Linked DNA regions of Cricetulus griseus. The protein of the gene in region 1 interacts with the protein of each later gene in a pairwise test. Links are inferred from orthologs where the notes say so. Each region holds a gene or a part of one and is shown in the gene's direction. Other genes may lie near its edges.

Region 1 (3,583 bases):
TTTTTATTTAGTTTACAAGCTAGCAGATTTCTTTCAGGCTTCTTCATGTATCGTTAGTCTTGTCTATCACACCTCTACCCTCTCCAGTATTTCAAGGAGTTTCTTGTCTAGTGGGAGAGTTCATAGCGCAGGATAAGTAAGACAAGGGCTTATATTCCCTCTCCCCTCTCTTTTTCCTTGGTTTCTTTTTTTGCCAGTGTGGGCCTTCCTTTTCTCTATACTTGAGCTATGGCCCTGCTTTTCTTCTCTTGACTTGCTAGACTCCTACTTCCGCGGATGGCAGTTCAATTTTATTTTAAAGGACTAACTAAATAAGACTGCTTGTGAGGATTTGTTTCATTGCTTTTATTTCATCAGCCATCATTTTTCATGGGAGATTGTTTTATGGTCAGAGCTAGAACATACTGGGCAATTGGAGGGTGTTTCTGGACATACTGTGAAGTCACCTCTTTTAATTTTTATCTCAACACCTGTGCCTCAAGATCCTTTCCTTTGCCGGATATCTGGAGTTACTCCTGTGGGCTAGGCATGTTTGCAGGCATTAGGGACAGAGCAGCTGGCAAAGCTAAGCCCCTTTGCTGCACTGACTGACATTTCAAAGGGGACGCACCTGATGATATTTAATATAATAAATACTACGTAGGTAAGTGAAGTAAGGGTTGGAGCTGTACATGCCGACAGACAATTCACATATAGATGAGACAGTTTGGGAAGCCCTTTCTCAAAGTAGTATAAAATGAGGTAGGCAAGTAAAGGGGGAAAGATAGCTAGAAGGGACAAAGGCTCTGAGATTAGGCGAGATCTGCTTGATGTGTGCAGGAATTAGCAGGCGAGGCAGAGATTAGGACAACAGGAGGTCATGTAAAAAGGGCATGCAGAAGGAGGTCCTTGTATGTTACGACCAAGGGTTTGCTTTTTATTCAGAGCAGCAGAGAGGGAAAAACTGCTGGAGAACGTCGAAATGGGGAGTGAAAGGCTCTAACTCACATTCTAAAAGTGTTCTGAGGCTATTCTAGAGAATATGCAGAAAAGGGGAAGAATGACAGCTAAGGGATTAGATGTAGCAGACCAGACCGTGAAAGAAGGCTGGGATCGAGGTAGCAGAGATGCCCGGAAGTGACTGAATGTGGAGATGTATTTTAAAAAGCAGACCCAATAGCTATCAGCTCAAGGATCCTGGACCAAACTTAGTTATCGACAACTAATGACGTTTAAAATAGGCAGACAAAGTTATTTTACAGAGCTCATCACAGTTTATAACTTAGGAACAAAGGCACTGATAACAGGAATATGGAAAGAATCAAAGATAGAATGTTGGCAAATGGATACTCTGTGCAGATTTGGAGATCTTTTGGTGAAATTGTCTCAACTGAAGAGAAGCCCCTGTTGACAATTACTTATGTATTTAATGAAAGCACCCCTTGCAAGTCTTGAAGTCTCTAAACTCAAATGATCTCCCGCAGTATGACCCTCAGTGTCAGTGTTATTTCTCTGGGTGAAATTTAAACAAGCAAGGAAATGTGTTAAGAAAGCATTACTCTAAAAAAATGTTGATGGCTGCAGGCCCACCGAGGAACACTGTATTGGATGAACAGGTCGGCTGCAGAGAAGTTTAAGCTGAAGCAGGCCAGCCCTGAGTGCTGAGCTTCTATGCTCGCACAGCCCTCCACTGTGGCAGGCTTGGCTCCCCCAGCGTTTCTTCATCAGGCTGGGGGAATTGACAGAGGCCCGGGGCGATGCTCCCTTGGTCACGCCTTCCTCCTCCTGGGCCACGTCCACTCGGTCCGTCAGTCCCACCCTGGCCACACCCCCACGCCACCAGCACTCCCCTCCGCCACGCCTTTCTCACCGCAGTGCGCTGGCGCATTGGCTGCCAGAGTGACCTTGTGGGTGGAGCTTCCGCCACCAGCTAGACCCCCTCTGCGCAGTGCCCAGGGTCAGCACTCCTCTGAGGACACGCACTTCCTCTACGGCCTCCTTGAGCAGCTCCGCGGAGCCGATCCGAGCCCGAGAGCCCGAGACCTGCCAAGCGAGTCACCATGGTGGACGAGCTGGTGTTGCTTCTGCACGCGCTGCTGGTGCGACACCGCGACCTGTGCATCGAGAACAACCGGCTCATGAAACAGCTGCGGCTGCTGGTGTGTGAGCGGGCCATTCTGCTGCGCCAGGTACGTCCGCCCAGCTGTCCGGTGCCCTTCCCCTCACCGTTTAATGGCGAGAACGCCCGGCTCCCCGAGTTTATTGTGCAGACGATGTCCTACATGCTTGTGAATGAGGACCGCTTCTGCAACGACGCCATGAAAGTGGCATTCCTGATCAGCCTCCTCTCCGGGAAAGCCGAGGATTGGGTGGTGCCGTACATCCAGACAGATAGCGCCATTCTCTGTGATTATCGCGCGTTTGTTGAAGAGATGAAGCAGTGTTTTGGCTGGTATGACGACGAAGATGATGATGATGATGATGACGACGACTGTGAAGCGGTTGATTGCTAGGCCCCGAGCCCCCTTAGGCCTACATGAGGAGGACCCTGCACGCTGCGTCCTCCCTACCCCCACCGCTACTCCTGCTGCCTCCGTGCCCCCCTTTGCATTGCCATTCTCTTCCCTGCCAATCACTTCGCTCCTTCATCCCTTTTAGTGCTTGTCTTTGTGCCAATTACCTGCTACGAGTGCTTGAGTTGGGCCTGGGCCTGGCTCTGAGGTTCACAGTGTTCAATTTTAACCAATCCGGGCACCTTTCTAATCTGAACTGTGTTTTGAGCTCCAGCCATTGTCCAGGCCTGTGTTAGAACTCGTCAGACCACCTGCATTCCTGCCGCTGGCTTCTGATGGATCGCCATCTACATCTGCCAGAAGTGGATGCCTGTCACCTCACCCCCCCCCACCACCACCCCCCACTGCATCTCATCTGCAGCCATCCACTTTTCAAGATATGGACCAGGAAGAAGATGATGGAGTTGGCTACATCTATTCAGACTCTCATTTGGACAGTTCACCAACCCTCCTAGAAGGGGCCATTCTTACAGCCTGGTTAGTTCTGTACCTACTTCCAGGTTCCTCCTCTGCCGGACCAGATTGCTGCAGGAGCCTGATGTGCCTGCCTGACTGTTGAAATGTTGACATTTCGTTTCCTGTATGCATCGCTTTTGCACAGCTGTCATTTTTCTTTCAGATTTGCAGCAGCCTCACAGATGTGTACATGTGGACAAGTAGTACTAAAATAAAAAATGAGCCAACAGGCATTCAGCCCAGATCCTCTCTAGTACCTGGAAAAGGCAATGGCATTGTTTTCAATAAATAGCAAGCACTGCAAAACTAAAAAGGTTGTCTTTTCATGGTTAAGTGACGTCATTGGCTTTTGCCACGCTCGTCTCCATTATTTCATTGAGATCAGGGAACCTGGTTCAATTCCAGTATTCTTGCTTTCACCTCTAGGCTCCAGAAGAGAGATACCATAGTGTTTTACAAGCTTTGGTGAAAGAATATTGTGTGGAGCCTCCAAGGTGGCATATAAAGGGGTGTCTGAGTAGGGGGCATACCATGTCACATTAGGTGACTTTGTAGAATGAAGGGGGTGTAGGGGA
Region 2 (5,537 bases), on another chromosome or scaffold:
TTACTATTTCAAGCCTTTCTATGTGTAGACTTTTGCTAGACTTCCTACAGTCTATCCCCCCCCACCCCCCCGCCCGCCCCATTGGCAGCCTGTCGATTAGTTTCAGCTTTATCCTCTTGTCATGCTGAGAGGTGAGGGTGGTTGACAGCTCTCACCAAGTGAACAGTCAGGGCTGAGTCAGGTCTCAAATGCCATTAGGGGACTTTTGTTCAGCTTGCTATATGTTATCCACCAGAACAGTGTCAGCAACGAACCAGATCTTAAATTTAAAACTTATTAAATACATGAGCTTAGTGCCAGTATGACTCTAAATAAATGGCTTTCAAACTGGGGAGCACACATCCAAGGAAGGGAGGAGAATACAGAGACTGACGGAGCATTCCAAATATTTAAACCATTGTTTGGTATGTTTTAATACTTTAAAATGAGGTAAATTGTAATAGATGTGTGCACACATACACAACATACAGATGTATAATTTTCATCATACTTACCTAGCACTCAGCTTGTGCTTGCATACTGGTTTAATGACTCTTTGAGATACTTTCTTTTGTTATCCCTATTTTACACATGAAGGAACTAAGGTTAACTGAGTATATCCAAGGACACAGTATTATAGTTAGTGGCAAAGCGAAAACTTTCTGGCTTGCATCTGTGTACTTTATTTAAATTAAATAAGTGTTTTGTTAGGAAAGGGAATGTTTTTATGGATGACATGAACAACCAAAAATGTTTGGTGTCTAATGCTCTATAATGGACCACACAGACAAAGCAGTTCCTAAAGGCATCTTAGATCGTGCTTAGTCTAACACATGTAAAGATTGTGTGCGCATGATTGAAATCCTGTAACTATCCCTAGTATCACAATTGGTTTCCTTTGCCAATTTTGTTGCAGAGGGTGGGGAGGATGTAAAGAATTCCAGACATAAGGAGTTCCAAACCTGCTCATCCACTTTCACTCCAGGCTTATTTGTGGAAATCGTGGTTGGTGGACGCACTAATTCAACAAAAACTACAGCAGTGGTTCTCAACCCTCCTAATGCTGCCCAAAGATCCTTTAATACAGTTCCTAATGTGTGGTGACGCCCCGACCATAAAAAACTATTTTTGTTGCTACTTTACAACTATAGTTTTGCTACTGTTATGAGTTGTAATGTATCTTTCTCCCCCCCCCCCCGTTGGTCTTAGGTGACTCCTTTGAAAAGGTCATTCGACCTCAAAGAGGCCGAGACCCACAGATTGAGAAACTATGAACTAGAAGTTCTGAAAAAAAGAAAAAAAAAAAAAAAACAACAACCTGAAATAAAATTTACTCTAACCCATTTTCTACCCCTCCCTATTTAAACAGTGTGCTTTATATGTTATCCCCACCCCCCTGGTTGGATACATCTCTCTCTCCACAGCGCCTAAGCAAACTCTCGGTGTTGAGGGACTGAGGAGCCAGGGCTCGTCTCACTAACGTTATCTTAGCGCGGGGTTCTAGGTACGCGAAGCAGGTAGTGGAGGCCGTGCGTGGCCAGAGAAGTTTCGAGAAGAGCGGAGCTCTAAGGCTCACAGTTACAAGGAAGTGTGCGGGAGCAGGGTGCGGTAAGCGCAGAGCGAAGATGGCTCGAGGGGGTAGGCGTTGGGAGAACGCGATCGCAGGTGCTCGGCAGCATGGCCGAGCCAGGCGGGGCTGGCAGACGCGTTTGGGTGGCGAAAGGCAAAGCCTTTCTTTCCTGTTCCTTAGGGAGGCGTGGAGGCAGCTTCCGTCCATTCTTCCCGAGAACTTCGCGGACCGCTCCACAGCTCTTTCCCAAGGCTAGCGCGAGTCAGGAAAGTCAGGTTAGGCGACCCAGGCTTGCCCGGGCCCGCCTCTGCGCGCGTCACCTCGGAGCAGAGAAGTGCGCCCCGCAGCCCCGCCCCGGGAGGTCCCCCCAGTGGGTGTGGTCTCCGCCAACGGCCCCGCCCCTCAGGCCTGTCGCGCGGGGATGGGGGCGGGGCAAGGCGATGGGCGGGGCGAGGGAACCGGGAAGAAAGGGCAGGGCGGATGTGCTCGTGCCCGTGTTTGGCGCTTGAGCGAGGGCGCGCCGGTGCGCGCGCAGGAGGGAGGCCAGCGGGGCGGCCGTTGTCGGGTTCGACAGGAGGGGCGGTGAAGTCACCTGCGAGCGTTCGCGCCCGTCGCGTCCCCGTCGCGCCGGCCTCGCGGGGCCCCACACACCGTGCGAAGCTGGGGCCCGGGCACAGGCAGAGTCCGCGGCTGGAGTCGGCGACGAGGACGAGTCGCAGCCTCGGCGCCGCCGCCCGCGCCGGGCCGGGTAGGTGCCGCGGGGGTCGATCGGGACGCGCAGGGCGGCGGCGGGCTGCGGAGGGGGAAGGAAAGTTTGCGGGCGCCTGCTCCCGCGGGCCGGGACCGGCCGCGGCGCGGGGAGGTGTTGGCCCGGGCGGCGGCGGCCGACGCCATGTTGGGGTCTGTGGGAAACGGGGCGCTCCCGGGCGGCTCCCCTCCGGGCTGGCGCTCGGGCTGGAACCGCCTTGGTCCCGCCGCGCCCGTCCGCGGCACGCCGGCCCGAGGGCAGGGACCCGGGACGGCGGCTGGGGACGGGACCCCGCGTCGTGCCCGAAGTTGTGGGGCGCCAGCACTCTGGCCCCCAGATCGTGCGGTCTGAAAACTTCGCAGGCTCTGGGCGTCAGGGGCGCGCTGTGACTTGAGCAGCGTATTTTGTATGACTTTATATGAAAATGGCACCGCAGAAATTGGCTCTGATGGGAGCAGCGGCTTACAAGATATTTAAAGCAATGGCTTACAAGCTATTTGGAGTGTTTAAAGTTTTATGATCTTTTGCTGACTCTTTTTTTTAAACGTTATTAGAGGTGAGATCTGGTTCCCGAAGCTGTTCGGAGTAGCCTTGTATACTCCTAGAATATTAAAGCTGTAAGTTGTGTTCAGTGTGCAGTGGAAATGAAGAAAATTCAGGTTACACCTAAGCAGCAATTCAGACTCCTAGTACGTGAAATTGGTAAATGCCTTCTTTGTTTTTTTTTTTTTTTTTTTTTTTTTTTTTTACCTTGCCTAAGAGACTCATTAAAGAAACATTTAGACATGAACGTTCACTTGAGAAGTTAAGGCATATGTTACTTTCTTAAGAATAAAGTCCAGTATGTTGGCTGTACTCAGCAGACTGGGGCCGGAGGATCCTTGAGTTCGAGGCCAGCCTGGACTACAGAGTGAGCCTGTCAGAATAAACCCCCCTCCAGACCACCCAACCACACAAACAGAATAGGGTGACGTGATCTTGACGTTTCTTTTTTTTTTTTTTTCCACTCTTTTTCCTTTTGGTTCCTTATTGGTGCGTGAGTTTTGGCCTTTATCTCTTTCTGTACTCTTGTAGCTTATGGGGGCCTCGGCTTAATTCAGAATTAACAAAGGTTATTTTTAATTACCGTGGGTCATGATAGCATTGGGAGGTGGATGGTATTAAGTTGCTTGTTTGGAAAGCACATGTAATCGTCCTCCCCCAGACGAAACTGGTGTACAACATGATTAAGCCTAGTCAATGAATATCATTTAAAAAAAAAATAAAGACAGCTTTAAAATTACATTAAATGGGCTAAAAGGCTCTTAATGCAAAAGCCCTAAAATGTGTCGATTTTTACTCTTACTTAAAAAAAACACTCATTTGTGTGTTGGGGGGGGGGCACACATCCTCAGAGCACTTGTGGAGAGGTCAAAACAAATTACCAGAGTTTCTTTTTTCCACCACGTGAGTTATGGGATCCAACTTAGGTGGTTTGGCTTGGGGGCCAGCACTTTTCTTTCTGAGCCACCTTTAGTTATCATTTATTTGTTTGTTTATTTATTTATTTGTGTGTGCACGAGGGTGTGCAGGCAGTCATGTGTCAAGGTGTGGAAGTCAAAGGATAACTTTTGGGAGTTGTTTCTCTCCTTCCACCTTGGGCTGTGAGGCCTGGCCTCAAGTGCCTTAACCCACTGAGCTGTCTCGATGCCCCCTCATTTCATTCTTTAATAGGTAAAAGTACCTTCTTATATTTGTCACCTTCCTTGGTTCTTTAAAAAAATTATTTTACTTTGCTGCATTGTCAGGTCAATTATATCATAAACATTAATTCTTTCACAAAAATTTATTTATTTATTTATTAAGAAAGGAGTTACCTGACTTCGATGTCACAAATCTAGCAGTCAAGCTGATCGTTAAGTGAAGTCTTATACTAATATCCCTATGGGGCCTTCTTTGCCCATCTTGTTTCTTCTTTCCTGTACCTCCTCTTCTGATTTGGATTTAGCTTTCTAGTATAACTGTCTCCCAAGGAGCTGAAAATGCAAGGCTATGCTGTTGAGATTTTTTTCCCCTTGCAAACATTCTGTTAACGCTGGGGTGTTATAGTGGAGCATGCCTGTAATCCCAGCACGTTGAGGCAGGATTGCAGAGTTTGATCTGGGATGCAAAGTGGGAACTTGTCTCAAAACCAAACCCAAACAGAACCAAAACAACCTCTCTCCTGTACTTTTTGAAGCCTTTCTGCCCACATTGTGGTTGTGCTTCCTCTTGTTCCCCACAACTCAGTTCCCTTCCCCCACAGGGTCCTGGAAGCATTGCTTAGCTCTGTGGCATGTCCTTGACAGTGGGCATCGAGTGCGGTACTCTTTGCTTGTCTCTCTCCAGCAAGCTGAGAACATAGCAGATGCTCAGGAAAGGTTTGAATGGATTCCTTGTAAATATGCTTCATGAATTTACTAGATTGTCATTTCTGTGGGACAGTTGTTAAACTTCTGTTGTCTTTCTGCTTCATACTGTGAACTCCATGAAGTCCACAGATTGTGGTCAGACTCTTCCTTTCTAAAAATAATTAACTTTGGTAACTGAACTTTGATGGGGATACAGACTTGAATATTTATGAAATTTCCAATTGGATAATGACTGACATGTAATTGTGATGAGTGGAGAGAAGCTAAGGATGAACTTTGAAAGGATGACATCACTGCTTTAAAGTGTGACTGAATATTTTGCCCTTAATAGAAACATTAATGCCTAGAAAATGAGAAGGTTATGTTTGTGTATATATACCATTCAATTAAACACATTTTGTTGTGGTTTTGTCATAATTGTCTTAGAATTTTGATTCAGAGGCAGTGATCATTGAAAGGTGAATAAATCTGCTTTTCTATTGATAGTCTTTGAGACTCAGCTTTACATACAAGCTCTTTGCTTCTGTAGCAGTCCTCAGGCTGATGTATAAATAAGAATGCTTCCTAAGTGTGCTTTTGCACTGCTAATTTAAGTAGTGAAATTTTTCTAGGTGTTTTATAATTTTGTAAGGACTGTAAAATTTGGATTAATTTCTTGTCCTCACCTAAGATAAGTCTTTTTTTAGTCTGTATATTTGTTTGTTTTTTTGAGACAGGGTCTCACGTAGCCTAGGCTGCCCTCCAGCACCATATGTAGTTGAGGATAACCTTAGGCTCCCAATCTTCATGCCTCTAGTCCTTCCCCTACTGTACCTAATTTATGTTTTTGTTGTTGGTGGTATTTTCCTTT
Region 3 (5,255 bases), on another chromosome or scaffold:
CAGACACATGCCACCATGCCTTCAGCACTGGCTTTTGGAGAAGCCATGCTAAGATAGCCAATGGTGTATAAAAGAAAAGGGAGGTGTGTAGGCTGCAAGCCATAATCAATGATATGCAAAACAGTGTGGAAACAAGGGATAGTAGTAAGAGAACAGGCTGCTCATGAAGAGGCTGCATTACAAAAAGGGGGGCACGTAAAAGCATTAATAAAGCTGACCAAAAGGCCTTTTATTATCATCACGAACCAACAATTCTAACATACTTCAGTGATAAAATTCTCCTCCCTACTGGTGCTGATAGCTTTCTCTGCTGCATGCCTGCCCCCACTCCCCAGCATGCCGCCGACTCTGAAAGCACAGTGTGGAGGGTAGTTAAAGGTGAGCCCGAGATGAGAGAGACAGTGTTGATTCTCCAGCCACACAGGGAGAGCTGAATTTCACACCTAGGTGCCTTTGCACATCCTGTTCCCTTTCACAGGAACGTTTTTCTTTATTCTTCCACCAGATTTCTATACTGTCATCCATCTCTTTCTTCAAGAAACCCTTCCTGACCCTCACCTGAATCACAGGATTCCTGTGGGCTTGCACAGGCCTCTGAGCACTTCCAAAATGGCAGGTTTCACCCTGGACTAATTTTTGTCTGTTCTTTTTTAACCACTAAACAGCTCCATCAGGGTAAGACTATGGCTTGTTCACCTAGACATGAGAGCTGAAGGAAGTCAAAGTTATTACAGTCAGGAGAACAGGAGATGAAGGGACACTTGGAAGAGACATTAGAAAGGCATAGGGCCTGTGGCAGACCCAGAGTGGACTTCTCTTCTCCTTTGTGGAGGGAGCCCTGGGTGGTTTGGACCTAAGGAACATGGTCCTCCTTGTGTTTCAGCAGAATCCCTCTGGTTGCAGGGTGAAATCGTGTAGCAGAAAAGGTATCCAGGTGAAAAAAGACAATGGCTTGGGTCATGGTATCAACCAAAATGGGGAAAGTGAATTTATTTGACTACAAAAAAAGTACTGGACTTCAAAAAACTTGGGAGACATAATAGGTGGTAAAAAAAAAAAATCTTGAGGTAGGTAGGAGAACAACTGATAATATTTGGCTATTCGCTCATGGGCGCCAACAACTCTCTGGTCTGTTTTGTCACTTGCAAAGTTAGGAGAGGTAATAGAATAGACCCATGAATTTGTCGCGAGGAGACGTAAAGGCTTTAGCACAGGATTTAGTGTGAAATCTATATGTTCAAATGCTATCCTAGAAGCCAAGTTGCTAGCCCCTGGGCGCATCTCTATCACTTACTGGCTGACAGTGACACAGTTTCCAAATCTACAAAGTGGAACAGTACTTTCATTAATACCAACCGCATAAAATTTAATCTGGGAGAGTTCAATAAATGCATTCAAGCTCAGCACGTAGAATAAGGTGCTATCAGGCAGGCACTGCAGGCATGCTAATAAATTACTATGAAAACATCTACACCAGACTGCTTAAGTACTTCCCACCCTAGTGCACTCCACTTTGCAGATGAGAAGCCTACTGTAGTTGGCAGCAAGGTGGCCTCTCTCCAAGAATAAACTGCCTGCCTTCGAGTGGTCGGTGTGCTGTAGACGGAAGCAGAATCGGGCTGTGAGAAGTCGCGGCCCCGCTCGTGTGCTCCCTAACGGAACCTTCCAGCGCGGCGCCGGCGGTTCCAGCCCGGAGCGCCTACAAAGCTAAGAGCTATTTCCGGCACAGGTTTCTGCGTTTCCGCGCAGGTGCGGACAGAGCCCAAAGCGAAAGGAACACCCCTGGTGTTGCCGCTTTCGCCGTCCCGCTCCTCTGAGGCGGCGCGGCTTGCTCTTTGCCAGCTCCTTTCCTTCCTTCCCCACAGAAGCCGCGAGCGTCCATGGCGGGCCTGGAGGTTCTCTTCGCGTCGGCCGCGCCTGCCATCAGCTGCCCGCAGGACGCGCTCGTCTGCTTCCTGCACTGGGAAGTGGTGACAAACGGCTACTATGTCTTGGGCACAGGCGACCAGGTACGCTGCGGAGCAGGCCTGGGTGGAGGGGAGCCCGCAACCAGAGGCCCAGAGGGCTCGCCTGACCCTGCCGAGCCAGGGCCCGAGGTGACGCCGCACTTTGGCGCGCCTGGAGCTGGTGCCAGCAGCTGGCACAGCGTGTGTGTAACCGAAAGGCGTCCCGGCGCTTTCACTCAGGCCGAGTCGTGTGGATCTGACGCCGAGACAGACTAGTAGCTTCCTTAAAGTCCTCATCCACCCGACTTCCCCAAAGCATCTTTATCACACACAGTCATGGCGTGGACTACTCAATGCTACACACCCCATTCAAGTCACACACACACACACACACACACACACACACACACACACACCACACACACAATCACACACACCATTCAAGTCACACGCACACCAAGCACAGCTGTGGTGGTGAGCTTTGACCTCCTCAGCCATATTCTAGAACCCCACACACACACACACACATCACACACACAATCACACACACCATTCAAGTCACACGCACACCAAGCACAGCTGTGGTGGTGAGCTTTGATCTACTCAGCCATATTCTAGAACCCCCTCCCCCCCACACACATACACACACTTAGCACGATGGACCAGCCAGAGCCCACTCACTACTCATCTACAGCACACACACGCCTTCTTTGTGAGTGTTCTTCCCTTAGCTGTCTCCACCAGAATCCAATCTATTCTCCTATCTCCAGATTCTGCCTCTTAACTGATGGGGCCTTGTTGACATCCCCATAGAGGTCCAGTATGCATCACTGATTCTCTGCCCTAGCCTTCTCCTTTTCTCTGCCCCTTCCTTATGACCCTCATGTCTACCTGTGTAGCAGGTTTTTGGGTAAACTGGCCCTGGTCCCCTTACTGCCTTTCATTTCCTATCTGCTCCACCAAAGGAACTCCCAGCCACAATCCCACATACACGTACTTGGAGACTCAAGGACTCCAGGCTTGCCCCTCTATGTTGCTGTCTTGGCACTCAAAATTCAGACCAGTCCTGGAAAGAAGGTCCCCTCACCCCCTGGAACTTACAGAGAGATTTTAAATCTTCCTCTCATTTCTAACTACGGTTCCCAAAACCCTACAATCTTTAGCTTCTTAGATACATTAGAGTCTTGGTATGTTTTCTCTCCTCACACAACTTTATGGACTCCTCCTTTGACACACTTTCAACATTCTGAGCACTTAACCAGGCATAGCCCTGCTGGAGTTCCATTCCTGTCTGTCCTATAAAACTAGGAACTCAGACCACTCTACCCTGTTTACACTTTACCCTCATTAGAAGGAAGCAATACACAAAATTTTTGTTGATTTCTTTCCCCGTTTCCTCCCAAACCTCAAGTAGCTCCCCAGCACTAAAAGATGCAGGATCCAGACATCTTCTGGAAGGACAAGGAGCCTGGGAGATGGGGTTTTGGAAAGTATTGCCTGCTGACCCTGTCTGCCTCCGTACTAAATCATGCATGCCCTTCGAGGGGACAGTGTTTGGGTTCGGACTAGAGTGCTGCCATTTGTTTCTTGTAGCCCCATCTCTTAAAGTCCTCTCAGGGCTCAGGTTGCCCTTGGCCACTCACTGCCAACGAGTGTTCTCTCATTCAGAATAGAAGCCAAAAGAATTTGAGAGGCATCTTTCCTGTTAGTTTATCTAGTAGAGAATTTTTATTTTCCAGTTTAGAGCCAGCAAATCAATAATGCTTGCCAGACATAGAGTGTATTTATTTGTATTGCCTGTCTAGCCGCCTCCTGCCATCCACCCTTCCAGGGGGTGATAACAGGGAAACAAGTATTTAAAGTATGTACTGGACTGTGTAATACCGACTCAGCAGTTAAACAGAATGCTATATTGTCCACTTTCTCTTTGGTTTTGTGTCTGCCACTGTAGAGCAGTGTGTGTAATATTTGATTTGAAGACCAACAGATCCCTTGACTTAAACAAAAATCTGACATTGGTTTGGTCTCTCTATTGGTCAGGGCTACTCTCCATAAGAGCTCCGTAGCTATGTCAGATGGCTTAAGTGGCACGGCATGGAGATGGCCATAGAGACAGAATTGGGCTTTCTGTTATGGGAGTCTGAAGATTATGAAGAAAGGGAAAAGGACCTGTTTGTGTGTGTGGTGTGTTGGTTGGTTGGTTACATTCTAGCCCATTGGCCCTGGGGTGAGCTCAGTAACCATTAAAGGATATTTCTAGCCTCAGAATTTCACCTAGGATGGCAGCTACCCTTACCTTCTTAGGACTGTCTGGAGAAAATCTCCAGCCTGCCCTGCACTGCCCTTCAATAGGTCTCAGCTCCTCTCAGGTCTTAGAGTTATCAACTGAGGGAGTTAAATTATACAAGCATGCTTTGGTCACTTGCCAACCATGGCCTTCTGGGACACTTGATATTATTTTATATCAAGGTGCAGAGGGCGGCCACTTGATGTCTTGGGCCACTTCTGTTTTCTGGGGAACACCGGTCTCACCATGGTGAGATGTCAGCTTTACATGACCCCAGCGATTCTGTCTTGCTCTGGAATGAAAGTGTTGAGGTGGAGAGCAGAACAAGTTGTCTGTATGCCAAGAGAGCATACTAGTGGGACGAATGCTGTACAAGTGGAGGTAAGGGAAAGTCAGAGGTCTTGACAGAATATAGATAAGGCATGTCACCCCATCTTCAAAAGTTACTCCTTAAAACCCACAACACTATAGGAGTTGCCCAGTCTAGGCAAAGGAGTAGTTTCTCGGCAGTGGTTAGTTTCACTTCTGTTTTCTCACTACTCTCATTTCTCTGCTTGAGAATTTCCTGTAGTTTGTCACCTAGCCAAGTCTGATTGGGACTCCTCTGCCAATGGATTTCCAAGCACCAGGGGTGGCCTTCCCTTCATGTCTGGGCCTTTGTCTTTGTCAGTGTTGTCTATCTCTAGCCTAATTCTCCCCCACCGTGTTCTCATGAACACAGCTTCTAGTCAAGCTGTTCTATGTTGACAGTGTAAATTTGTGCTTTTAAAGTTTTTTTTTCATAAATGATATTGAACCATAAGCTATTTTCCAGTTGCCCACTCCCCATGTAAATCCCCACTTCAGCTGTCCCCCAACCCCCCCCCACACACTTTTGTAACCCACAGAGTCCAGTTAGTGCTTCCTGCTGGGATATTGCTTATTTTGTTGACGTGTTCTTATGTAGGTAACTATATCTGCTGTGAGTTCATGAGTGCAATTGCCATGATGTGTCCCAGAGGACAGTGTTTCATGGAATTCCT
Region 4 (5,458 bases), on another chromosome or scaffold:
GCAAGGGGAGATAATGCCCCTCTTTGCCTCCTTGAGAGTGAGGCAAGGAAACAAAACTATCCCAGGGACCAACTTTACCATCGGGTTAGAACTTGACTGCCTTCCTCTCTTCACCATGTGAGGTGAGGAGGCTCTGAGCCCTTCAGTTGCCTGCACAAACCTGACTTTGGCTACTGGTGACTCAATCTGCCAAATGTGCTGCAAACCTGTTTCCTCCCAATTACAGCAAGACTGTCAGCCTCAGTAGTGATGTTGTCATTTCTGGGTGGGATCGTGCCCAATACCAGAACCAAAAGGGTTGAGTTGGTGGCTCTGAAGGGCCTCACTGATAAGCAGGGTAGCTTTGGAGCTGTGTACCTACAACTCCCTCCGAGAAAGGGAGCAAGTATAACAGCACTTCATTAGCAGAGTTTTCCTTTGAACTGGAGCCTAATGGATTCTTAACTGGGTGGCAGCTTCTAGGACATCTCAAGCTATGTTGGGGCCTGTTTTCCATCTGTATTCGCAAATCACGTGGCTTTGATTCTTGAATTCAGTGAAGCAAGACCTCTGTTGCTGGGAGCAGAAGAGAATTTGGACCCAGCTTTTGGCACCTTCTAAGACCCTCAGCAAATCCAAACCTGCCACTGAAAAAATGGAGGCAACCCACCTAACACAGACTCTGGAGGAAGGTTAATAAGCTATTTTGCCCTGATTAGTATTGACGTCATTGCTCCATGCCTATGGATGTCCCATCTGCTTACTCCCCCGCCCCCAGCAGGTTCAGGAATCTCAGGCCATAATAGGGTCAGCCCTAGTCACACTGAAGGTCATCTATAAGAGCTCTTGGCACACGCCTTTAATTCCAGCACTCTGCAGGAAAAAGCAGGTGGATCTCCTGAGCTTGAGGCCAATGTGGTCTGCAGAGCAAGTTCCAGGACAGCCAGGGCTACACAGAGAAACACTCCCAAAAATAAAATCCAATCACTACTATTGACTCCCTGTCCACCTAGCTGATCTGGGTCTACCTAATAGGGATGATGGTGTTTAGGACCTCGAGTGTAAAGACCAGTGCTCACTATGTCCCTGACAGGTGCATTTTATTTTTGTTTTGAGACAGTGTCTGTCTATGTAGCTTTGGCTGTCAGGGTGTTCCCTGTATGGACAATTGTGGCCTTGAACTTCCAAGTACTGGGACTAAAGAATTAAACCACCATGCCCAGTTTGATTTTTTGAAGCGAGATCTCTCTACATAGCCCTGGCTGTCCTGGAAAGTTCTATGTAGACCAAGCTGGCCTCAAACTCAGAGATCCACCTGTCTCTGCCACTCAAATGTTGGGATTAAAGGTGTGCGCCATCATGCGGGACTTGATGCTGGTTTTTTGGGGGGTGGGGAGGGGTTGTTTTTGTTTTCCTAACAATTTGTGGAGGGCCTAAAAGAGACAGGATTTCATTTAATTCACACAGGTTTCACACTTGGCTCGGTACTGAGCCAGGCGGGCTGGAGGAAGAGAAGCTGTGCATTAGTTAAGGTTCCTGCTCCGGTGGAGCTTACATTCCAATTTTCTATTTCGTCACAATCCATCGTAGAGGCGAGGAAAGCTGGGAGGGAATAGGCGTGCGGCTGTCAAGGAGCTGAGCTGCGACTTACAAGCTGCCGGGAATCTCACCGACGGAGACTGTGAGCCGTTACTCCCACTCAGAGGCTAGGTCTTCATTTTGTGTGGCTCTGGTCCCCGATTCTCAAGAATTCAGGGCTAAAGCAGCCCGCTCAACTCCAGAGCAAACCCCGACACAACTGGGACAGTGGAGAAGCAGGAAGGCAGAGACGGCCAACAAGCCATTGCGCCCCGAGCTACGGCCGTGGGCGGGCCTCGAAGGGCCTGGCCCCGCCCTCTGGAGGCAGCCCTGCTTCTGCGCAGGCGCAGAGAGCGCGTTCTCGCCCCGCGGCACCGCCCACATCCTGGGGACGTCGGCGGCGCGCGACGTGCTTCGCCGGATAAATGCGGTGGCGCCGGTCGTAGGAGCGCTTCAGTCCTGAGCGCCAAGACGTCTGGGCGTTTGGTGTCGTCAGGTTCTGCGCCTGAGCCCTCCCCTGTACCTGCCTGTGCCATGGCGGACGAAGGGAAGTCATACAACGGTTAGTTCGGGGCCTCGGGTCGGGAGGCGGCGCGGTGGGCCGGAGTGGGCGGCCCCGGCCTAGGCCGCAAGCCCGGGGGCGGGAGGCCGCGAGGAGTTCTGTGTCCGTGGGCAGCGGTGGCCGCGCGGGCAAGGATGGGGCGCCGCGGGACACAGGGGCTCCAGAGTCGCCCGGATTCTGGCGTTGGAGGACCTGTGGCTCAGGGTGGGGTGACAAGATTCCTTTGAACTTTGAGGGTGGTTGATGCCTGTCAATTGAGTTTGGCGGCCCGACTCGTCCTTTAAATGTGAGTCAGTAGTACCTTGTTCGTGGGCTGCTTTGGTGCCCTATTTTTTTTTTTCTTTTAACGCGATCAGTTGGTCTTTCAGCTTGCTCCTTAATGTTTACCAGTTTCCTAGTTCTAACAATTACCTTGATGGGTTAATTCATAGTGGTGTTTAGGACGGCATGACAGGTGATTGAATCTGGAGTTGGCTTTGCTAACCCCGACGGAGTTAAACTTTCAGGCCTTGTTTTCCGCCTCTTTCATGTGGGTATCTTGTCTTCCCAAGTTTGCGTGCGTGCGTGCGTGCGTGCGTGTGTGTGTGTGTGTGTGTGTGTGTGTGTGTGTGTGTGTATGAGATAATTTCTGTCAAGTGGCTGGAAGTGAAGATTTTTCAGTGAACCTTAATTGCACTGTGTTTTCACTAGAGTCACTTGGTGAGGGTCATTGTTTACAGGACGATAGATATGAGGTAGATTTCTTTGGAAGTCATGAACCTTTTTGTGTTTGTGTGGTGCTGATTTATCCAGGGTCTGAAAAATCCTCAGCCCAGTGAACCTTTATTTTAACTAAAATATAATTATATGGTGGGTGGCAGTGGTGCACACTTTTAATCCCAGCACTCGGGAGGCAGAGGCAGGCGGATCTGTGAGTTCCAGACCAGCCTGGTCTACAAGAGCTAGTTCCAGGACAGCCTCCAAAGCCACAGAGAAACCTTGCCTGGAAAAATAAAACAAAACAAAAAACAAACAAACAACATGTATGTATGTATGTATGTGTGTATGTATGTATGTATGTATGTATGTACGTGTTTTAACAGGATCTCCCTCCAGTTACTTTCATGTCTACCCACTCCCCAAATTCATACAACCTGAGTCCATTTAGTGTAGCTAGCATGTACTTATTTTTAAGGCTAACCATTTGGCCTTGGATAACCATTTAGGGAGTTCATCCCCGTTGAAGACTAATTCTCCCTTATAGGGCCAGTCTTAGTACCCCAGGCTGGCCTCATAGTCAGTCTTTCAGTGCAAGTCTCCCAAGTTTGGTATTGTAGGCACGTACCACGAGACTTATTATTTTGTGCTAGATGAACACTAGGCCTTGCATACACCAGGCAATCCCCTCCCATGGAGCTAAATTCTCATCCTTTTTGTTGTTGTTTTGAGATGGTCTCACTAAGTTGCCCAGTCTGACTTGAAGTTTCAAATTCTCCTGCCTCAACCTCAGTCTGTGTGTGTGTGTGTGAAGGATAAAGGTAAGCACTTTACCAGCTGAGCTGATCCTCAGTCTCCTTTTGTGTTAGTGCCTACATGTATATACATATAAACCTATACACAACGTCTGGCTTTGAACTCTACAAAGAGGAGGGTGACCTTGAGCCCCTCTGATCCTCTTGCCTTAAAAACAGTATACTGTGGCCAGGCGTTGGTGGTTCACGCCTTTAATCCCAGCACTCGGGATCTCTGTGAGTTCGAGACTTGCCTGGTCTACAAGAACTAGTTTCAGGACAGCCTCCAAAGCCACAGAGAAGCCCTGTCTTGAAAAACCAAAAAAGAAAAAATTTTAAAAAACATAAACACAGTATTTTACTGCACTTGGTTTCATTTATTTACTTTTTTTTCTTTTTCTTTCTTTTTTTTTTTTCAATATGTAGCTCTGACTGGAACTCACTGTATAGACCAAGATGAGGCTGGCCTTGAAAACTCACAGAGATCTGCCTGCCTATGTCCAGCTCATTTTCCTTTTTTTTGTTTTTTTTGTTTGTTTGTTTTTTGTTTTTTTTTCTTTCCCCTGAGACAGGGTTTCTCTGTGTAATAGCCCTGGCTGTCTGGAACTCACTTTGTACACCAGGCTGGCCTTGAACTCTCAGAGATCTGCTTCGGACACATGTGTATTAGAAAACACTCCAGGACCCTAATGTGGAACTGCCAGCTGATCCTGCATCTAGAAGTCCCTTGAGGTGCAGTCACTTCTGCTCACAGAAATGAGCATTGCCCAAATTCAGAAGGACAGTTTGAGAGCAAGGAGGTGGTGGTTGTTACTAGCTTATGTAGACCAGGCTGGTTTCTAACTCACAGAAAATCCACTTACCTCTGCCTCCCGAGTGATGGGATTAAAGGTGTGAGCCACTACCATCTGGCTATTATGTGGTTTTAAAATAGGTCATATTTGTAAGTTTTTTTTTTCATTTTTTGAGACAGGATCATGTAGTCCAGGATGGCTTTGAACTTGTGTAATTGAGGCCTCCACTTCCCATTTGCTGAGATTACAGTTGTTTCCCACATCTGGCTCTGTGGCCCTCATTTGTATGTATAGGCAAAAGATCAAAAATTTCAAGTGGTTTTCAGGGGTGCCATGTTTTACTTTTTATGTAGGAACTAGTTTCTGGTTCACTTGTTTTCTTTCAAAATTTTTTTCTTAAACATTTATTTAGGCCCAGCAGTGCTGGCACATGCCTTTAGTCCCAGCACTTTGGGAAGCAGAGGCAGGTGGATCTTTGTGAGTTAAGAGGCCAGCCTGGTCTACAGAGCAAGTTCCAGGACAACCTCCAAAGCAATACAGAGAAACCCTGTCTTGGAAAAAAAGAAAATTATTATGTATATAGTGTTCTGTCTGCATTCTAGAAGAGGGAATCAAATCCCTTTATAGATGGTTGTAAGCCACCATATGGTTGCTGGGAATTGAATTCAGTATCTCTGAAAGAACAGTCGGTACTCTTAACCTCTGAGCCATCTCTCTAGCCCTTCACTTTAATGATTTTTGACAATTTTATACATATACACAATGTGTTGTGATATTTTCACCTTTCATTACTTTTTCTTTTAAAGATTTAGTTTTCTGTCTGGTCCTTGCAGAGCCCAGAAGAAGGTATTGGGTCCCCTAGAACTACAAAGGCTACCTCCACATAGACACCTGTGCCCTGGCCAGGGGAAAGAACTTTTTATAGGTCATAAACATCAAAAAACAAGTTATTAGAAAGCTGTAGGGGGCTGAAGAGATGAGTTAAGAGCACTGACTACTCTTCCAGAGGACCAGCTTTGATTTCCCAGCATTCACATTGCAGAGCACAGTTGGGA
Region 5 (5,434 bases), on another chromosome or scaffold:
GTTGGTGAGGAGACCTCTCCCTGAGGCCTGCAGTTCTCCTTTTAACCCAGTTCAGATAACAGGAAAGTTTTCTATATCTTGCTTGGGTGGGTGGTGTGGGTGTCAGGGTGACATAGTCTTGGTAATCCCCTTTCCAGGTGGGCCGTCCTGTGTTCATGGTGTCACCCCTTTGAGTCTTCATTTCGTTCCTTCTGAAACTTGGGTCCCAGTTGTGCTCTGTGTCATGGGATTAGAGGGGATTGTGGGTACAGAAGTACTTTGTCAGTCATGAACGTATGGGGCAGAAGCAGAGGATTATCCTGTTACAGCAAAAAGAAGGGTCATCCGATGGCTAGCTGGAGCTGACGAGCCTGAGAGTGTTCCAAGTCCGAGGGAAGCGTTTTTTCCTGGAGGGGGTCTCAGGAGGTGCAGGTGCCAGACCTGCAGCTATCACCCTGCCTCAGATGGATAATGGGGAGTCAGGAGAGGCAGAATGGGAATCTTGAGTCTCAGCATGTCCCATAAAGTGAGTGTCCTATACACAAAGAGGCTGAGCCTTGAAAACTGACGAGTACAGATCTTCACAGGAGTCATTCATAGAAATGGGGTTTAAACACAGGCCCAAGGAACGCTGGAGCCCTATTCACTTTCTCGTATTGTAGCTCTCCATTAGAAGCCCTCCTGTGGATTCTCTCCAGTCTGGGTGGCACTGCCCACAGTGCCATTGTCTTAGAGAAATAGGGCTGTTAGAGCTGGTGGCAGAAGACCCTGTCCTTTTTGGCCTCAGTATTGCAGTGACTGATTCCTTGGCCTCTGAGCTCTGATGTGTTCCACCTGCTTGCCAGCCCCCCTTCCTGCCTCCGCCTTCCTCCCTGTACTTAGGCACGCAGAGCAGAGCCTCTAGCTCAGCCCCTCCCCAGCTGGCAGCAGCTGACAAGGCAAATGGGGGTTAATCTGGCCCCTGCTAAGCAGCGACATGTCTCTTGCTGAAGAAGGCGGGGGACTTTCTGGAACTCGCCTGGGTCTTATCTGCAGAGGTTTGCCCCAACGCGTCTTGGGAGCAAGCAGAGGTTCAGTGACATGTGCAGTTGGCTGGTGACAGGACCATCAATCAGACTCCTGTCAGCCTGAGCCTTCTGGGCTTTTGTGAACTAGCCAGGACCCTGGGCTGGGGGGGGAACTGAAGAGGTAGGAGGGACTTCTGGAATTGGGGTGGTGGGAGGGCTGTGAGAGGAGAGAGCATGCCCAGGTATCAGGGATGGGAGAGAGGGACAGGCACCGGCTTTTTTGGTCAACTCGTTTGGAAGTTGACTTGAGACCCTATTAGCCTGCACTGTGGTCACCTGTGTTCTCATTCCCGGGGACTTCCATGTCCCGAAGGCTATGTATAGGGCGTTTGAGTAGGTAGTACAGAGCAGTGGTGGGAGAAACTGAAAGCAGGAAGCTTTCTACCTGGGGTGAGGCTCACATGCCAGCAGTGGGCTGGGGTGGGAGGCAGAGCTGGCCTGGCTGCTCTAACGGGATGGGACATGAGGGAACTTGGGTGCTATGCTGAGGGTTTGCTCTTGTGGCTCTCTTCTCCTTCCTGGAGTGAGAAATGAACCTGTAATCCAAGTGTTAAAACCATGGCCTAGAGCAAAACCCCATTAATTCTGAATCATCTCTCTTGTTGCATTAAGAAAAAAAAAAAAGAAAAGAAAAACTCACCACAAGCGAGCCCTGTGGAGGTGTGCAGGCAGCTGTATTTGTCTGGAAGGCAGAGGAGTTGGCTCCACTCAGGGGGAGGAGGCAAGGCCCCCACCCCCTTGAAACAGTATATAAGGAATCCCAGGCTAGGGGCGACAGCACTGCAGCCTGGTTTCAGCCCAGCTCAGAAGCTCCTGCTAGAGTCCCTCCTGCTTGAAAAGGACACGAAGGCTCAGGCTGCCTGACCATGGCCACCACATTCTTGCAAACTTCTTCCACCTTTGGAGGTGGCTCTACCCGAGGGGGTTCCCTCCGTGCTGGTGGAGGCGGCTTTGGTGGAGGGAGTCTCTACGGGGGAGGTGGGAGCCGAAGCATCTCTGCTTCTTCTGCTAGGTTCGTCTCCTCGGGGGCAGGAGGGGGATATGGGGGCGGTATGAGTTGTGGTTTTGGTGGTGGTGCTGGTAGCGGTTTTGGTGGAGCCTTTGGTGGGGGTTTTGGTGGTGGCTTTGGTGACTTTGGTGGTGGCGATGGAGGTCTCCTCTCTGGCAATGAGAAGATCACCATGCAGAACCTCAATGACCGCCTGGCCTCCTACCTGGACAAAGTACGTGCCCTGGAGCAGGCTAACACGGAGCTGGAGGTGAAAATCCGAGACTGGTACCAGAAGCAGAGCCCAGCCAGTCCGGAGCGAGACTACAGCCATTACTTTAAGACCATGGAAGAGATCCGGGACAAAGTAAGTCCTCATATATATGTCAGACAGAGGGAAACAGGCAGTAGGTGCCCTGTACACATATGCAACAGCAACATTGCTGTTGACTAAGAGAGTCCTTCCCTGCTGTGTAACCTGGCAAGGCTGGGATGCACCTGCTTCCCAGGCACATGTGGGAACACACGTGTTCCACTTGGCAGTGCTGGGGGAGGGGAGGGAGTGGTCTTGGGAATCTGATTTGGATACACAGGATTGCAAATGAGGGCAACAAAAGAGAGCAGCTCCTTCTCCCTGCCTCACAAAAACTTTCAGGGATTTTTGCAACTGATTGCTTTAACTTTGTGACCCGTGTGCTGTTCAGGCACAACCTCAAGAGTCCTAAATGCCAGGGCTGTTTACTTCAGGCCTCAAGGATGTCTTTATTGTTGATCATTGCTAGATCTTAGGAGACCAGGGAACTCAGTGGAGGCTGTGCCACCCCCTCACTTTCCCTTTTAACTAACTGGATCTGTTTTCCTTAGTGGCAAACACGTTCCTTAGCTGCTGTCCAAGTTCCCAATGACTGCAATGTTTTGGAGATGAAGGGCTCTGTCAAGGCACGCAGGAGGCAGCCACTGTGAGCTGTGCCCAAGTAGGCTGGTATAGTGTGTCTCCCGAGAGTCCTGACCTGACAGAGCCAACTGTATCCATTGCAGCACGGTCTTGACTAGCCATGCCCCCAGGCAATCCCAGGCAATACTGCCTCGTTAGTTTTCCATTCCTTGAAGATGCCACAGGGAAGGGAGCATGGGCCAGCACAACTGATGCACACAGGAAGAGAAGCTGGGCAGTAGTTGGCGAAGGGGGTCGTGCAGCAGCCCTAAGGTACAACTCTGTCTCCTGCAGATACTGGCGGCCACCATTGACAACTCGCGTGTCATCTTGGAGATTGACAATGCCAGGCTGGCAGCGGATGACTTCAGGCTCAAGTGTGTTCCCATTTCTCCACCCCTGTCCATTTCACCCCCTCTACCTAGCCTTCCTCCTCTATGACTCAGAACCTGGGCCCCTCACCTTTCCTGACTTTGGCTCCTCTCCCCTCCCCAGGTATGAGAACGAGCTGGCCCTGCGCCAGAGTGTGGAGGCCGACATCAACGGGCTGCGCAGGGTGCTAGACGAGCTGACCCTGGCCAGGACCGACCTGGAGATGCAGATTGAGCACTTGAATGAGGAGCTGGCCTACCTGAAGAAGAATCACGAGGAGGTAACAGCAAGACAGGGTGGTAGGAAGAAGCCCAGGACAGCCAGTCTTTTGTCACAGTCCTCTGAGGGCTTGGGGATTAAGAAATGTACCTGGGGGGCCCCATGGAAGAGAAGGGGCACTAATCTCTGGTAATCTGGACCCAAGGCCAAGCCATGTGTGAACTGCAGAATTGGTTTGCTTCATGGGCTTATTATCTCAAGGTCCTTGTTTCTTAGGACCCAGAGCAAGAGAGATCCTCAGAACTGAGGGGTCCATGTGTTCCAATGGGGAATAGAGATAGGGTGGTGTGATGTGCTAAGGTCACATTGTGAGTTAGAGACAGTCAGAGTTAGCCCTCAGGACTCTCGATTCTTTGTCTGCTTTATAGCCTTGTCTCTAAATGGTTGTCACTCCCACCCCTTGCAGGAGATGAAAGAGTTCAGCAGTCAGCTGGCGGGCCAGGTCAATGTGGAGATGGACGCTGCACCTGGGGTGGACTTGACCCGCATGCTGGCCGAGATGAGGGAACAATATGAGGCCATTGCGGAGAAAAACCGTCGGGATGCAGAGGCCTGGTTCTTCAGTAAGGTGGGCCTGACACCCCCAGCTCTGCTCTCTCCCTCCTTCCCACTCCAGAGGCCTCTGAGGAGGCCCATGAGGCTCATGTTTCTCATGTGTGACTTGCAGACGGAAGAGCTGAACAAGGAGGTAGCTTCCAACACAGAAATGATCCAGTCCAGCAAGACGGAGATCACAGACCTGAGGCGCACCATGCAGGGGCTGGAGATCGAGCTGCAGTCCCAGCTCAGCATGGTACGGTCACTCTCTCCCTACTGGGTGACACATGGCCAGTAAAGCCTCACCTCACACATTCCTGTCACCTCAGGCAGTCCTTACCACCCTTCCTGCTCTTCTCCCTCCAGTGGGTTGCCTTCTAGCCCAATGGGTTTATGCATCTGTCACCCCACCAGAAAGCCGGGCTGGAGAACTCTCTGGCAGAGGTGGAGTGCCGCTATGCCACACAGCTGCAGCAGATCCAGGGGCTTATTAGCAGCCTGGAGAGCCAGCTGAGCGAGCTCCGCTGTGAGATGGAAGCTCAGAACCAGGAATATAACATGCTGCTGGACATCAAGACTCGGCTGGAGCAGGAGATCGCCACTTACCGCAACCTGCTTGAGGGCCAGGATGCTAAGTAGGTGTACAGGTGCAGGGAGAAAGAAGGGGGATGGATGGATGGCCCAGGGCCATCAGAAGAGGAAATCAGGGTATCCCAAGAGCTGCTTTGTTGAGTGGAAGGAGACCTAAGGGGTCTGGAGTCTCCATTCTGGTGTTCAGCTGTTACTTTGGGCATATTGTTTCTGCTCTGGACCTGTGCTTCTCCTGTAAATGATGGACAGGGCACAGGCTGCAACTCCCCATCTGTCTGTTTGGGATGGCAAGCCTGAGGGACTGACCACCAGGACTGACCTTAGAAAAGTCATTGTGGTGTGGGGGTTGGAAAGGACCGCTCAGCTGTCCACTAGGGCTCCTTTAGGGAGACTGGCGCTTTCTTCCTTGGCTTACACCCAGTGTCCCTTCTCTTTCAGGATGGCTGGCATCGGTGTCAGGGAAGGTAAGAGAGGGTGAACCCCTTCGGTGTGGGTGGGAGCAGAGCATTGGAGGCAGCATTCTACCTATAGTGGGGAGGAAGGAGGAGGAGACAGATATCCCAATGTCAGGCTACTCCTGCTCCAGATTCCCCTTCCCCAAGGACTCTAGGTGGGACTGAGATTAGAAGTTTCCTAAGAACATTCCAGGCCGAGCAGGCTTTGATAAGGGCTTGCCTTTCTACCCTA

What was found.
Region 2: the proteins of protein LDOC1-like (region 1) and pleckstrin homology domain-containing family F member 2 interact in binary tests that used the Homo sapiens proteins (3 or more experiments, as listed by UniProt). The two-hybrid records come from large-scale screens. The link is inferred for Cricetulus griseus from reciprocal best matches to the Homo sapiens genes LDOC1 and PLEKHF2.
Region 3: the proteins of protein LDOC1-like (region 1) and Psmf1 interact in binary tests that used the Homo sapiens proteins (3 or more experiments, as listed by UniProt). The two-hybrid records come from large-scale screens. The link is inferred for Cricetulus griseus from reciprocal best matches to the Homo sapiens genes LDOC1 and PSMF1.
Region 4: the proteins of protein LDOC1-like (region 1) and Nxf1 interact in binary tests that used the Homo sapiens proteins (3 or more experiments, as listed by UniProt). The two-hybrid records come from large-scale screens. The link is inferred for Cricetulus griseus from reciprocal best matches to the Homo sapiens genes LDOC1 and NXF1.
Region 5: the proteins of protein LDOC1-like (region 1) and Krt15 interact in a two-hybrid assay, tested with the Homo sapiens proteins (2 studies listed by BioGRID and IntAct). The two-hybrid records come from large-scale screens. The link is inferred for Cricetulus griseus from reciprocal best matches to the Homo sapiens genes LDOC1 and KRT15.

Annotation. Positions count from the first base shown.
Region 1 is NC_048604.1:11,335,990-11,339,572, reverse strand, and holds protein LDOC1-like, read left to right. Parts: upstream 1-2,039; coding exon 2,040-2,492; downstream 2,493-3,583. UniProt on the Homo sapiens protein: May have an important role in the development and/or progression of some cancers.
Region 2 is NC_048595.1:125,130,148-125,135,684, reverse strand, and holds the start of pleckstrin homology domain-containing family F member 2, read left to right. Parts: upstream 1-2,015; 5' UTR 2,016-2,297; intron 2,298-5,537. UniProt on the Homo sapiens protein: May play a role in early endosome fusion upstream of RAB5, hence regulating receptor trafficking and fluid-phase transport. Enhances cellular sensitivity to TNF-induced apoptosis.
Region 3 is NC_048599.1:28,279,265-28,284,519, forward strand, and holds the start of Psmf1 (proteasome inhibitor PI31 subunit), read left to right. Parts: upstream 1-1,733; 5' UTR 1,734-1,880; coding exon 1,881-2,009; intron 2,010-5,255. UniProt on the Homo sapiens protein: Plays an important role in control of proteasome function. Inhibits the hydrolysis of protein and peptide substrates by the 20S proteasome. Also inhibits the activation of the proteasome by the proteasome regulatory proteins PA700 and PA28.
Region 4 is NC_048596.1:51,335,562-51,341,019, reverse strand, and holds the start of Nxf1 (nuclear RNA export factor 1), read left to right. Parts: upstream 1-1,936; 5' UTR 1,937-2,091; coding exon 2,092-2,119; intron 2,120-5,458.
Region 5 is NC_048600.1:112,451,586-112,457,019, forward strand, and holds the start of Krt15 (keratin, type I cytoskeletal 15), read left to right. Parts: upstream 1-1,912; coding exon 1,913-2,401; intron 2,402-3,262; coding exon 3,263-3,345; intron 3,346-3,463; coding exon 3,464-3,620; intron 3,621-4,025; coding exon 4,026-4,187; intron 4,188-4,286; coding exon 4,287-4,412; intron 4,413-4,570; coding exon 4,571-4,791; intron 4,792-5,185; coding exon 5,186-5,211; coding exon of another isoform or gene 5,212-5,221; intron 5,222-5,434.